Tribolium castaneum: one gene and its partner. The protein of the gene in region 2 purifies or fractionates together with the protein of the main gene of each other region. This does not show direct contact. Links are inferred from orthologs where the notes say so. Each region holds a gene or a part of one and is shown on either strand. Other genes may lie near its edges.

Region 1 (4,139 bases), on a different chromosome or scaffold from region 2:
TTCATTATCTCTTAATGTACGATCTAAACAGCTCACAAGTAATCATGGTAAAAAATAGTAAATCGGCACGTAGACAATTACGCTATTTTAATGGCAGTTGTGTATTTGAAAACATAATTTCTCAATCTATTGCGGGAGTCTCACTAGACGAAACTATCTCTGCCGTTAAAGTCACTTAATTAAAGAAATTACCATGAAGTTAAGAAGGTACCACACCAAAACTATACATTCAGTGTTAGAAAAGTCCCTTTTTCTTCTTCTCCTTCTTGCCATCGACGGCCTCCCTGCTCCCTTCGAGCGACCTCCGACGCAGCTCCTCCACCGTGATTTGGTTCTCCTTCTCCCACTGCTCCTTCTCCATCTCGAACTGCCTCCTCTTCTCCTCCAACTCCTTGGCTTGCTGCTCCAGCTGCTTCTTCGTCGCCTCGTGTCTCCTCGTCAGTTCCGCCTCACTATCCTTCAGCTTTTGCTTCTTCTCACGAACCTTCATTTCAAACACTTGCTCCATCTCCGCCTCCATCTTCTTCATCTTGAGATCGTGCTCGCGCTTCTCCTCGTCCATCTGCGCCAGTGGATTTTTGTTCGAAATCCGGGACGGCTTCCCATCCACCCCTAAACCGGCCAACTTGCGGCAACGGTAATTCTCGTAGTGCACATTATTGGTGACGTCCTTCAAGTCCTGGAGATGTGTGCGTATGATCATGTTGCGAAGTGCGATAAAATCACAGTGTTCCAAGTTCTCGACTTCGGCGATCCCCCAGGGGTACTTCCGGCCGCGCACCTTCTTCCCGTCCACTTCTATGACCGTGTTCGAGCCCACCACAGCGAACGGCACGCGCTCCTTCAGCGACTTGTTCAGCTTGTGCTCCTCGTCGTCTTCGGACGTGTCGGGGAACTCGTAGATTTTGATCTTGTTCTGGGCGATCTCGTTCAGGATTTGCTTCTTGAAGAGGGCGCATTCGTCGGATGTGAGCGTGTCGGCCTTTGCTATTATGGGAATAATGTTCACTTTATCACACAAACGCTTCATAAACTCTATATCGAGGGATTTTAAGCCGTGTCCCGACGGTTGGATGAAGTACAAGCAGCAGTGGACCCGCTGGTCGGGGATTTGTTTCCGGGTGACGCGGGCCTCAGAGTTCAGGTAGTCCTCGTATTTGGACTCGATGTATTCGATGATGGGGGCCCAGCAGTTGCTGTTGTCGACGGCGTCGCCGAAGCCGGGAGTGTCCACCATGGTGAGGAGGAGGTTTACGCCGTTTTCCTTGAGCATGACTCGGGTGGTCTCCACGGCGACTGTCTTCTTGAGGCGCTGGGTGGGCCCAGGGTAGTCGGTGGCGTTGTAGATTTCTGTTAGAAACATCGAGTTGATTAGGGTGGATTTGCCCAAGCCTGACTCCCCCACCACCATGAGGGTGAACTCGAAGCCCTTCTTCACGGCCTTTCGGTACACCTGGTTCGGTAGATTGGCAAAGCCGACGTAACCGTCCAGTTCTTTGAGTTTAGGCCGTTCCTTGACAATCTCAGGGGTGGATTCCTTGCTGTCTTCTTTGGCCGGTTGTTCTGGGGGTGTCTTGGCCGGGGGTTCTGGCGGTTTAACCCTGTTGGAGTCCTTCGTGTCGGTGGTTGAAGTGAAGAACATCTCTCGTTTGGTTTGGATTGAAGTGGCTTCACTGCCATTTGTTTGGGTGGTGATGGTGCCATTTGTGGGGCTTTGCTGGTCCATGAATTTCTGCCTCATGGCTAGTCGGTCCAGGCTTGAGAGGCGGTAGGAACCCCCGATGCTGTCCTTGTCCCTGTCCCGGTTGAGACCGCTCCCGGCATTGAAGCTGGAGGTGTACTTGGGGAGGGTGGGCGGCGGCGTGGGTTTGTTCTCAGCGTTGCGGTTGAGAAGGGCACTGCTAGAAGTGTACAAGTAGCTGCTGGGCATGATGTTGGGTCTGGACTTGATGGTGGCGGTGGCTTGGGTGGTAGGGGCAGGTTGAGCATTCACATTGTTGGCACTCATTGTGGTAAAACACCTAGTGGACCTACACTGCCATTGTTATTCACTTCGCGATTTGTGATGTCAAATTGACAGTTGGATGCCGGGTATGAGTAATGTTTGCTTGGTCAGCCACGCCCGTGGCGTCTCTTCCGCTCCACCTAAAACAGCCCCAATCAGGCCCTGATAGCCAAGATAAGCGGGATTATTACCGATAACGTACAACTTTCCACCGTTTTATCACTATTATCAGTAGCAGCACATGCGGGTCACCGTCACTCCGAAACGAGTTGAATTCAACTTTGGTTTGCTTGTTGTTGAAGCCAGATGGCGAGGCTTGGCGGGGCTGTGGGGGGGCGAGCGAGTCGCCGTAGTGGGAAAAAGGTGCAATCGACCAGAGGAGTTGTGGAGCGTTTGGGGCGAATTGTCGTTCTGCGCACAGCTCGGCAAGGGACAGAAATCGATAATGAAGGCACACATCACGCACATTTCGCAAAACCAATGGCGATATTTTTCTAATGAGACACGTTTTGAATCATAATCGGTTTTGTTGCACGTGCAACGTAATTCCACAGGAAAAATAAACCGGTCCTTATTTCGAATAATACAGTGTGTTCGGCTTTGATTTGAGCACTGGGACCCCTTTGTGGGTTTATTTTTAAACCGGGGCTTGTACGTTGTCGACGGACACGATGTTTCATTCAAAAAAACACATTTTTTACGAATTCAAAGTCTGATGATCATTTTGTTGTCCCACTGTTTTGAGTGTGGTCAAGATCCTAATTTCGGATGAGTGCGCAAAATCATCTTCAATTTAAATGTTTCAAAAAATACGTTAAACGGTAATCATGTAACTTTAAAATTATTAACAATTTTTTCAGGTTTTTATTGAACAATTTTACTGAAAAGGTGACAATCATTGTTTTCCTGTTGTTTTATCGTAGTTAGCACCAAAAGATATCACGAATTTAACAATTACACATTTTAATAACAATAATGATAATTGATTGTGTAATTTATATGATAGATAGCATAGATTAAATTAAATTCGCAGTTATTCTCATTCCTCAGTGATATTCAATGCGGAAAACGAACACATATTGCACGTGTGCGGAAACCTGTACCTGGTGCCTTAAACGTAGTGAAATTTATTCCTTTTCACTGGAGTCATCTTCACACTTTTTTATTTATAATACGTTTAGTTACCCAAATTTTGTAATCCTTACAATAAGAATCATTAATTAGTAAAGTCCGGATTTTAGGTCGAAAGAAACTAAAAAAGGCCAATGTTTAGGTTTACAAAAATGCAATTTACCTTAATTTTGTTAAAACTTTAAAAACCTTCTCGTACATACAATATTTTATGCAAGGAAGTGATCTCGATTTCTGAGTCGTAAAAAAAGTTATCTAAAATGAAAATTATTTGATCACTTGCTTAGCAACAGAAATTTACTTCATTATAATTGTTATTGAAAGGACCTATATATATATTTTTTTTGTATATTGGAAGTTTAAAAACGTACATTTTTAAATAAATAATAATAGCTTTTGAGAAACTTATCCTAGGAAGGATGTTTATTTTGATAACCCAAGTGTTTACCTAACATTTTTCGATCTAATAAGTTACCTGCTATGGTTTTCTAAAATTTCTACCAACTATTATTAAAATCATCCCGTATGTTCTACGTTCATTGGCATACTATTTGGTTATTATCAGTCAAAAAAAGGACATTTCAGGTAGCATGAGGGTATGATATAATAGATATAATGGGCACATATGTTCGCATTCTTAAAAAAGTATTTCAGCAACGTTTTCTTTGTACACCATTAAATTTTTATTATGATTACCCCAATCCGCAAGGACCCTTCAAGCTAATCAGGCAAGCATATTGTGTGATTTATTGCAGACAGGCTGTACTTTTTCAGAAGAACCGATCGGTATCGTAAATATTTTCGGTTTATCTTTTGTAAAACTCTATTGTGTACAAAGAATTTGCTACAACATACATGCAGTCGCTTCAATTTCTTCACCATACTTTGTTTTCTTTATAAATTTCATAAACTCTTACCTCGGATAATTTTTTAACAACTTTCTCGCCAAAAAGTGTTTCCAGAACCATCTTAATAATTAAAGTCTAACAGTTTCTGATCATTC
Region 2 (9,309 bases):
CCGACAGCTGCTCCTTGTATCTGAATTTGGCCACGGTAGCCGCCTTGCCCGTCAAATGTAGCAGACATAATACTCCTTCAAGGGCTCATGCAATCACCCGCCTGGTGCAGAGCTGCACCGTGGGGCTCGACGAGAGCATTGTGGTGAGTGAACAACTCATCGAGAAAATTGTTCCTTTAAAATAAATTTCGAGAACCTTGAAATTTTTTAACAGCGTTTTTTACGATTGCTGATTATTTTATTAAGGATTTTTTTTCTCAAATATTTGTGTTTCTTGTTAAAACGCTCCAAAAATGAGAAACCAATGTCATTTTAGATCAATACATGTTTTAGTATCTCACTTTTTTGCATTTTAGCTTGAAAAAATGTTTAATCCTCGAAAAATAACACCACTTTGTATCAAATTTGGCGATTTTATTTGACCAACTTTTAACAGAATTTTACGAAAAAGTGTTTTAAAAACAGTTTAGGTTTATTATTTGACAAACTTTTGTGAAAAAATTAATTAATACAATATAATTCTGGATAAAAAGCGACTAAACAATTGGATTTTTGACACAGTTATTATTAGTGAATTTTCAGCACGTTCAAATAATTGCAAAAATGATGTGTTTTTGTAATTTTTATATTTGTGTTGATGAAAATTTCTATAAAGAAAAATGCACAATGATATAATTTACGACCCAGTTTCATGATTTTTTTATGTGATTTAAAATAATGTATTATCGATACAGAGAAATTTTTAACGATTAAGATAAAATAAAAAATTGAAACTTGATATAATACCATTTATGATCATCATGCACTTGAAAAATTATTCCAAAACATTTTGACATAAATTATCTTTTATATCATTGATAAAAAAATACAGCATAAGTGCAGGATTTAGATAAACTTCTCATTTGAGAGCAATGACCTTGTTGAAATATTTAATTCGATGACTTTTTAATTATATTGTTTGTTAGAAATTGTACGAAACAGTTGAGTATCTGTAACTAAACGCTCGAAAAAGGCAAAAATTCTCAAAATGCGTGAATAAAACCATAAAACAGCAAAACAGTGTTATTTATCGCCCAATATCACGAAAAATGTTATCTCAAAAATGCCTTGAAAACACTGGGTTTTAAAATTTTGTCTTATTTTCCATAAAATGTCTAATAAATTATGTTTTAAAAGTTAGTTCATCTATTATTGTATATTTTACTTCAAAAATATCCTAATTTTTTTTTAATAAATTAACAGATAATTTGCGAACGTAATGATGTGTACGCAAGTGGCTGTGCTGTGGCCCGGGCTTTTCCCCTCTACAGCCGCAAAACGGGCTCCAACACCACCGAATATTCAACAGTTTCGGTTGAATTCGTAATAGTTCCATCCAACTCAGGTGGGTCCCAACCCATTTTTTTAAATTATTTTTTTAAACTGCTTTGATTTAGACGAAATAGATGGAACTGAACTCAGCGCCGAAGAACTGAAAATCCTCGATGATGCCGCGACTGGAATCCGTCTAGCCGCTCGTATCGTCGACACTCCGTGCAATGAAATGAACGTCGACCACTTCCTTCAGGTAATTCTATTTCATTTCATGATTTTTTTTATTGTACACAAAATTTATTAATTATTTATTATTTACACTTTTAATTTCGTGAGTCATAAGCAATTCGTTTAGATTTATAGAACTAGTGAGTGTGTAAATCGCGTAAATAAATGTTCATTGGGGTAAAAAATGCAGTTACACAATGTATGTAACCTTGACTTCCACCTAAGGCATCGCTTTGCCACATTCGTCCGTGTAACAAAGTGGTGCCCAACGTGGGGCAAAGTGGCGCCCAACGTGGAGCTCACCCCCAGTTAAAATTACAGGAAATTCGCGAAGTCGGAGACGCTCTAAAAATCCAACCGACAATCATCCGGGGCGAAGAACTGGCCGAAAGGGGCTTCGGGGGTATTTATGGGGTGGGCAAAGCCGCTAATGTTCCCCCAGCACTCGCTGTGTTGAGCTACACCCCTCAGGGGGCTCATTCGACCATTGCGTGGGTCGGTAAAGGCATTGTCTACGATACCGGCGGTTTGAGCATCAAGGGAAAAGTAACAAGCATTTTATTTTTATTTTTTGCTGTTGTTGGTACAGATGTTTTAGACTGCCATGCCGGGCATGAAACGTGACTGTGGCGGCGCTGCTGGGATTCTGGGGGCGTTCTATGCCGCAGTTAAGGCCAACTTTACCCAGAATTTACACGCCGTGTTTTGTTTGGCCGAAAATGCCGTAGGGCCCAATGCCACAAAGTGAGTGTTTCTATTGTTTTTTCCAAAAAATAAATACTTCTAGTTATGTTAGAACTAATCTTGTCTTTAAAATGGGAATTTTGAAATTGAAATAGTGGAGACTATGAAAGTCTTGAGTAATTGAGATTTTTTTTATTAAAAAAAAAAGTATTTGTTACCAAAAAAAATACCAAAGTATTTATTTTCTGGCAACTTGTAATACCCTGTACAGAATGATTACAATATGTGGGTGTTTGTAGACCCGACGATATTCACACCCTTTACTCAGGCCGCACTGTAGAAATCAACAATACCGACGCAGAAGGACGCCTTGTCCTCTCAGACGGCGTTGCCTTCGCTCAGAAAGATTTAAAAGCCAACGTAATTTTAGACATGGCAACGTTGACTGGAGCTCAGGTGATACAAAAGTTCATAGAAAAAAAACTCAAAATTTAAATTTAGGGTGTCGCCACTGGTAAATACCACGCAGCTGTGCTCACAAATAACGAAGATTGGGAAAACATGGCAATGGAGGCCGGCTTAATTTCGGGCGACTTGGTTTTCCCGATACCGTTCTGTCCCGAGCTACACTTTTCCGAATTTTCTTCGGCCGTTGCCGATATGAAAAATTCAGTGGCTGATCGCAGCAATGCTCAGTCGAGTTGTGCGGGGCTTTTCATCGCAGCCCACTTAGGATTTGATTATCCCGGAGTGTGGGTTCATGTTGATATGGCAACGCCGGTGCATTGTGTAAGTTTAGTAAAATAAGTGAGTTAAGACGGTAGTACAGGTTTCTGTAATAGGGTGAAAGAGCCACCGGGTATGGGGTGGCTCTCCTGACCACACTGTTCGGTAAGTACTGTAAACAACCGTTACTTAAGTCCATCGGACCCGATTTGGACGTGAAAAACGAAAATCCGGCGAAAAAATTGAGGAAGAAGTAATTTTATAAGGTTAAAGAGTGTCATATTTACTTAAAACGTATATTGTGTTTAAAACTTATGCTTCAATAATTTTGTATCACTACAAATAAATTTTATAACAATTATGTCATTTGCTTGTTAAAATATTTATACAACTAGCTGATAAAAATATAAAATAGATTATATAAAGTATAAAAATTACTTGTTAGTAAAATTAATGGCGGCCAAGGCCGAATTAAATTTGTTGCACCACTCGATCCTCTCTTCTTTAGTGTCAGCGGAGAGGAGATGTCTAAAAGAATTTATAAAAAAAAAACGTAAAATTTTCAGTTTTGATTTCCGTTATTTTGTAAAACTTATAATTACCTGATGATAGTTTTGGACCCCTTTCGAACGGTCACCAAACTTTCTTTGTCATGAGAAAGTGCTTCACGTTGAGTTTCAATAAGAAAAGTGTGAAGCCGAGCACAAATTTCCCGACTAACAGGGCCCACTTGTTTCGTGATTGCGTCTCGCAAACTTATCGAATTAATCGGTGGCTAGAAATAATAATAGAGTTTATTAATTATAAAAGAGATACGATAATTTAAAAAAAATGTCCACAAGAAACAAGAACTCACAGATTTCTTTTCATCATCTGGGTATTTCCAGTAGCTCAAAGTGTCGCCTTTTAACAGACACCACCGACGATGCCAAGCCCCAAACCCGGAAACATCTTCAAACATTGTTAAAAATCCGCGATGCTCAATTGTCACTGACAATTCGTAGGAAAGTGACATTTCAACAGTACCTTCCAACGGACTCATTGACGGTGTCTAGAATAAGAAAAACCTCAAAAAAATTAAACAACACATAGATTAAAATCAATTTTTACATTAATCAAAGACCAATGTTTCTGATTAATCGTCTTTAGTGAAAAGACGACGTAACCCATCAATGCAAACGTTGGGGATCGCACCACTTGTGGTCCAGCTGGTGATTCTTTGATTGGTCGCATCAAGCGTGAATCTTTTGTTTTTTTCGGTGTTAATTTAGTGTTGGGTTTTTTGATGTGATACTTGACTTCATGTGGGAGAATCTCCTCTTGTGCTTGAAGACAGTACACTTCAAATGTCACAGCAAAGTCGCTGTAGACATTTTTGAAAGTGATTGTGCCCGGGATTTGTAACTCAAGTTCTGGGTTTTTGCTGTTTGAGGCGATTGTGGAGACGAGTTGCGTTGGTAGGACTTGGTCCGAGTATTTTGTGAGGCATACGACATGGTGGCCTTTACCTCCAGCTAAAATTTAGACACAGAAATAGGTTGGTTCTAGGAGCTTTAGAGGAATACTTAATTCTTTAACAAAAAAATTCATAACTCAAAAACTAAAAGTCGTGGGGCAAAACGGTTTGCTCTAATGAATTTTGCGGCTCATTTTACGTATTATACCAGCTGTTTACAACACTAGCCTACTCAAGAACATGTTTAAAAAATATATTTAAAATTGAAAAATGGTGGATGCGCCGGGTTATTCATTAAAAATTCATAACTGAAAAACTAAAAGTCTTACAGCAAAACTGTTTATTCCAGTAAATTTTACGGCTCAATTTATACATATGCCAGCTTAATTACAGTGAAATTTTTTTTTTGAATAAATAATAACCTTAGCGAATAAACTTAATAACAATGGATAAGTTGTAGAAAATGAAAAAAATGAGCCTACCTGCAGAAAGCGCAGTGACGTATTTGTGTTTGAGCGGAAGCACGATTTTAGACAACGTCAAAGTGCCTTTTTCTAGTGGAAATTGTCCGCTTCTCTCCGTTTGCGCTTTGAGTGTTTTTTCGACTTCAAGTCTTTGACTTTCAAGAATTGCGGCTTGTCGCCGATGTGCTAAAAGATCGGTTAATTTTCCGTCCAAAATTCAAACTTAAAAACTCACTTGCAACAAGAAGCACTCTCTCTGCTTCAACTTGTTCAGTCGATCCCATAAACTCCGGTGTGGAATTGCACAAATTGAGCGCTTGACTCGTTTGCGAAATGATCATTTCTTGCTTACTCACTTCGTTTCGCAACTCGCGAATTTTCGCCCGGATTTGCTCCTCTTCCGCGGATTCTTCCGGGGATTCCTCAACCGACATTGCCCGGATTACTTGTCGTACGGGCGGTGTCGATACTTGCGTTTGCTGTTTGCGGTAAAAACTCACAGTGTGGGTGAGAGGAAGGAGATTATCGCCGTCTACCACATGGGTTGGGAGTTGGTCAGGTGGTGTGATTTTAGTCGGGGTTTTAAATTCCGGTTGGAAGCTTTTGTAGTTGAAGGAATTGGACGTTTCCTGTAAATTTTTTTAGTTATTTTGTGAATTTTTGGTCGGTTTGCATTACAACTGGCGATTTTCGCTCTTGCTTAGGCGGTGTTGGACCGTCTTTGTGGCCATTGTAAGCCAAAGCTTCGTCGATGTAATCGTCCATATCGTCCAATACATCGGACATATCGCTCGCACTCTCGTCCATTATTTGCTAAGAAAATTCAATCAAATTCCAGCCAACGTAACACAACTGAAGTGGCTCACAATTGTTATTTTTTTGCGAAAGCCTCATTTATTTTCATTATATCAGTTTAGAATAAAATGAAGTGATTTAAAATTAAACTTAAAATTAAGCGTTCGAGTTGCAATGAAATTTGATAGTGAATTTAACTATTTTTTATTTTATTGAAAATTTCAATACATACTCCTAGTTTAGATTTTTTTATAAAAAAACTAGACGTTAAAATCGCATGAAACAATACAGTCCCATTAGTAAGCTACAATATCTCAAGAATAAGTCAAGGAAATTTTTATCTCCGACTCAATTTATTAACATGCATTTGCAAAAAATATTTGTTTTTTTATTCGCTTCAACAGTTCCCGTAACCTTAACCCACCTAAATAAATTTTAGTCCACTTCACTTGTGGCGCGATTTAAGCGTTTTTAATTTCATGAAGCAAAAAACTTACTCTTTTTTGTGGCGTTTGATTCTGGCAAACCGCTCGCAGAATATCTCGACCGAAACTGGTATTAGCATCGTCAGATTCAGCAAAACTGTTGTCGCTGCTAGATCAAGGGAAAAAACAAACAGTTGTAGTAAAATAGTTATATTACACATATAATACAGTCAAAAAAGAATACTAATTGTTTAAGAAAGACATAAAAGGAATAAAATCCAGTCGGTAATTTTATCGCACCTGTTTGTTGTTGGACTCGGACTCTCATTCTCAGTCTCAGTCACTGACTCAATATCCGTCAAACTTGGGTATAATCGGCCTGTTTTCTGCGACGCCACTTTGATTCGCTTCACTTCGCTTAGAACAGCCGCCACTTTCGGACTATCGCCTTTACCTGTAACTAACTCAATTGATTAAATTAATCAATTTGAAAAATAAAGAAATTTACGGCTTCTTTTGCCACTGCTCCTTTTTTCCTTCGGACTAACAACAGCAACTTTCTTCGCCGATTTTTCCTCAATCATGGCCGTTTCTTCCGTATCATCATCAAACTCCTCCTCGTCATTGTTCTTATGGAATCTATTCAACAACAAATCCATTTCTTTCTGCCTTTGCTCCCTCACATTACTCTCAATCTGTTCCTGCGAAATTGTGCTTTTTTGCTCAAACAAAGCCGCAACTTTATTCGCAATTCCTTCGCCCCTTGGTGTCGCCACTTCTTTTTTTGGTGATGGTGGCGCAGGGACTTTTTTTTCTTTCGGGACATCTTTTTTGATAGGTGTTGCCATAGCAAATGGGGCTTTGGGCACCAAAGCTGCGCCTTTGTTTTTCTCAAACAGGGCTTTCCTTTCCGAAACTGATAACAAAGCCGGATCTTTTGGCTGTTTGTTGGGACTTGATTCAAAGAAGGCCGCTTTATCAGCAATTTTACTTTTTTGGGGAGAAGAGGCGGGTTTTGTGGTTGCTTGTTCATTTTCTTTGTTTTGTTGTTGCGCCTTGTATTTGTACACCAATTTAGAGCTGGATTCTGTCCGCTGGAAGCCTTGCGATTCCTGGAAATGCTCGGGAAATTACATTGTAAAGTTCAATTTATTGGAAAATTACGAGAGAATCGAGCACTTTCTTATCCCAATTTATTTTCTTCTGTTCTTGTTTTTCTTGATCTTTGATGGGTGGTTCTGGGGCTTTGTATTTTGTCGCTGATTTTGGTGGCGTGTTTGGGGTTTTTGGTTCTGGGGGCTTGGGGGCTGGGGGTTTCCACGATTTTTTTGTTTTGGCAGGAGAATTGTCCCGCTCTTTACGCACCTAAAGGCACGTTTAAATAAAAAATTTACGTTTTCTTCGACTTTCCATTTGGTATTTAAAGACATACTATCGATATTTCATTAAATATTCTGTAATTTTTTATTTTTATAATAATAAAGCAACGAGAAACGTTGTTAATTGTGGTTATACTGTAATGTTAATTATTCAAAGCCTGTCGCATAATTGCATTAAATTACTTTAAAAAAATGTACGTAAATATCCCACAAGTCTTACAAGTTATATTGTTTCGATAATTGTTGGCACTGACGTAAGAAGCAATACATAATTAAACAGAAAACAAGACATGAAAAAGTTAATTGAATTTAACTTTTTTACAATGACTTACTGGAGTCAAGTCGTCCTCAAACTGATTGACCCTCTGTGCCAAGTCGGCCAGTTTGCTCAGCCCCCTCTTATTCCTTCCGTTTTCTGCCGGTGTTTTCGTTGGAGACCCATGTGCACAAAATCTAGCTTCTGTCTGATGAATTGGCGAAGAAATGTCCGCATCGTCGCCCCCTTTGTCCCCCAATCAAAACAAAAATAAACCCGAGTCAAAGCAAAGCCTTCTCTCTTACCTGCATACAATTTCCCCAACCGATTTAGCCTATTTTTAGCATCCTGTCTCAGACCCCCGTCACTCCTATCATCATCACTCTGCTCCTCAATTTGCACTTCAACATGAACATTATCAGCCGAACTTACTTTAATTTCCATGTTAAAACTATCGTTTTGTATATTTAGGCTTTTATGAGAGGTGAAATCGGATGAGATGTGAGTGCGTGTAACTGTTGGCAAATTACCTTCAGACTTGGAATTGGCTTCCAACTTGGGCGAATTCGAGCTTAAGTTAGGTTGAGACAACGTTACTTTACCGCTGCGAGGGGGAGTCTTCCTCAAGTCACTGTTGTAGTCTTCGAGGAGTCTCTGACGCTCCCTCGCCCGAGTTAGGAGATTCTGCGGAAAAAACAAGCGGAAAATCGGAAAATGGGGCGAAAGTGCGCACGTACCTCCGTAAACGAGTCCATTTAAGTGCAAGGTCGCCCCGTGATAAATCAAATTCACACTTTGTGCATAAAGTTTGGTTGTTGATAAATTACCGTTGAAGGTTCGATTTGAAATAGCACTTCGGGAAAGCGCCACCGGTGGCACTGTCGCCCATAATCCAAAATCTAGGGACTTCAATTTTGGGAAAAAACTCAAAATTACTCAAAAAACGACCAAATTGACCACATTACAACTTTGAAGATTATTTTACTTGCACAAAAACACAAACTTGACCCCAGTCTTGATTCCAGTCACTAGTCTCAATTAAAAAAACTTGTAAAGAAATTGGTTGGTCAAGCTGGGAAACTGACAGTTGCCAAAATTTTGACAGTAGTTCCGACTTTTTGAGTATATTTTGCATTTTTTTGCCAAAAATCCTAATTTAAATAGTGTACGTGTCACACTAGCTGATAAAATGAGCGAATTATGATTACCTGAAGTCGGGTTGAAGCAAAATCAAGTGTAATGGCAAAATTCAAGTTGGGTGAAACACGTATGCAATTTTATCAAAAAATCTGATAATGACCGGTCTCTGCCTGTGAATATCGGCCTTCCGTGACGAAATCATCATGTTGCCACTGTCGCACAAGGATAATTTGCACCGGGGCTTCGGGTCCCGAATTAAGGAGAAGTTGAACGGGTGGATGAGGTTAATTTTTTCCGACAGGAACTCCCGCAATTTGTTTCTGTTCCTGCTTCTGAACCTCTCGTTTGCGTTTGTAGAGTTAGTTTATGGTGTATGGTCTAATAGCTTAGGTGAGTTGTTGTGCTTGTTACTATTTTCGTGAAATGGTTGTTTTAGGTTTAA

What was found.
Region 1: the proteins of scra (region 2) and pnut purify together in Drosophila melanogaster (affinity purification with western blotting; 3 studies listed by BioGRID, with this or other methods). This does not show direct contact. The link is inferred for Tribolium castaneum from reciprocal best matches to the Drosophila melanogaster genes scra and pnut.

The regions. Positions count from the first base shown.
Region 1 is NC_087394.1:33,632,954-33,637,092, forward strand, and holds the start of pnut (septin-7), read right to left. Parts: upstream 2,801-4,139; 5' UTR 2,197-2,800; intron 2,146-2,196; 5' UTR 2,009-2,145; coding exon 236-2,008; 3' UTR 1-235. UniProt on the Drosophila melanogaster protein: Involved in cytokinesis and possibly cellularization. Also acts as an enhancer of the sina gene, thus having a role in photoreceptor development. May be involved in p53-dependent apoptosis.
Region 2 is NC_087396.1:20,581,184-20,590,492, reverse strand, and holds scra (anillin), read right to left. Parts: upstream 8,640-9,309; 5' UTR 8,483-8,639; coding exon 8,465-8,482; intron 8,412-8,464; coding exon 8,033-8,411; intron 7,974-8,032; coding exon 7,804-7,973; intron 7,458-7,803; coding exon 7,257-7,457; intron 7,205-7,256; coding exon 6,601-7,204; intron 6,553-6,600; coding exon 6,393-6,552; intron 6,262-6,392; coding exon 6,165-6,261; intron 5,686-6,164; coding exon 5,551-5,685; intron 5,502-5,550; coding exon 5,108-5,501; intron 5,059-5,107; coding exon 4,891-5,058; intron 4,467-4,890; coding exon 4,063-4,466; intron 4,004-4,062; coding exon 3,809-4,003; intron 3,728-3,808; coding exon 3,555-3,727; intron 3,481-3,554; coding exon 3,387-3,480; 3' UTR 3,235-3,386; downstream 1-3,234. Other genes in the region: grsm (probable aminopeptidase NPEPL1), read left to right, coding at 1-143, 1,243-1,384, 1,437-1,567, 1,864-2,088, 2,141-2,286, 2,526-2,682, 2,728-3,015, 3,069-3,209; ZnT86D (zinc transporter 7), read left to right, coding at 9,071-9,257, 9,304-9,309. UniProt on the Drosophila melanogaster protein: Required for cytokinesis. Essential for the structural integrity of the cleavage furrow and for completion of cleavage furrow ingression and proper formation of the midbody.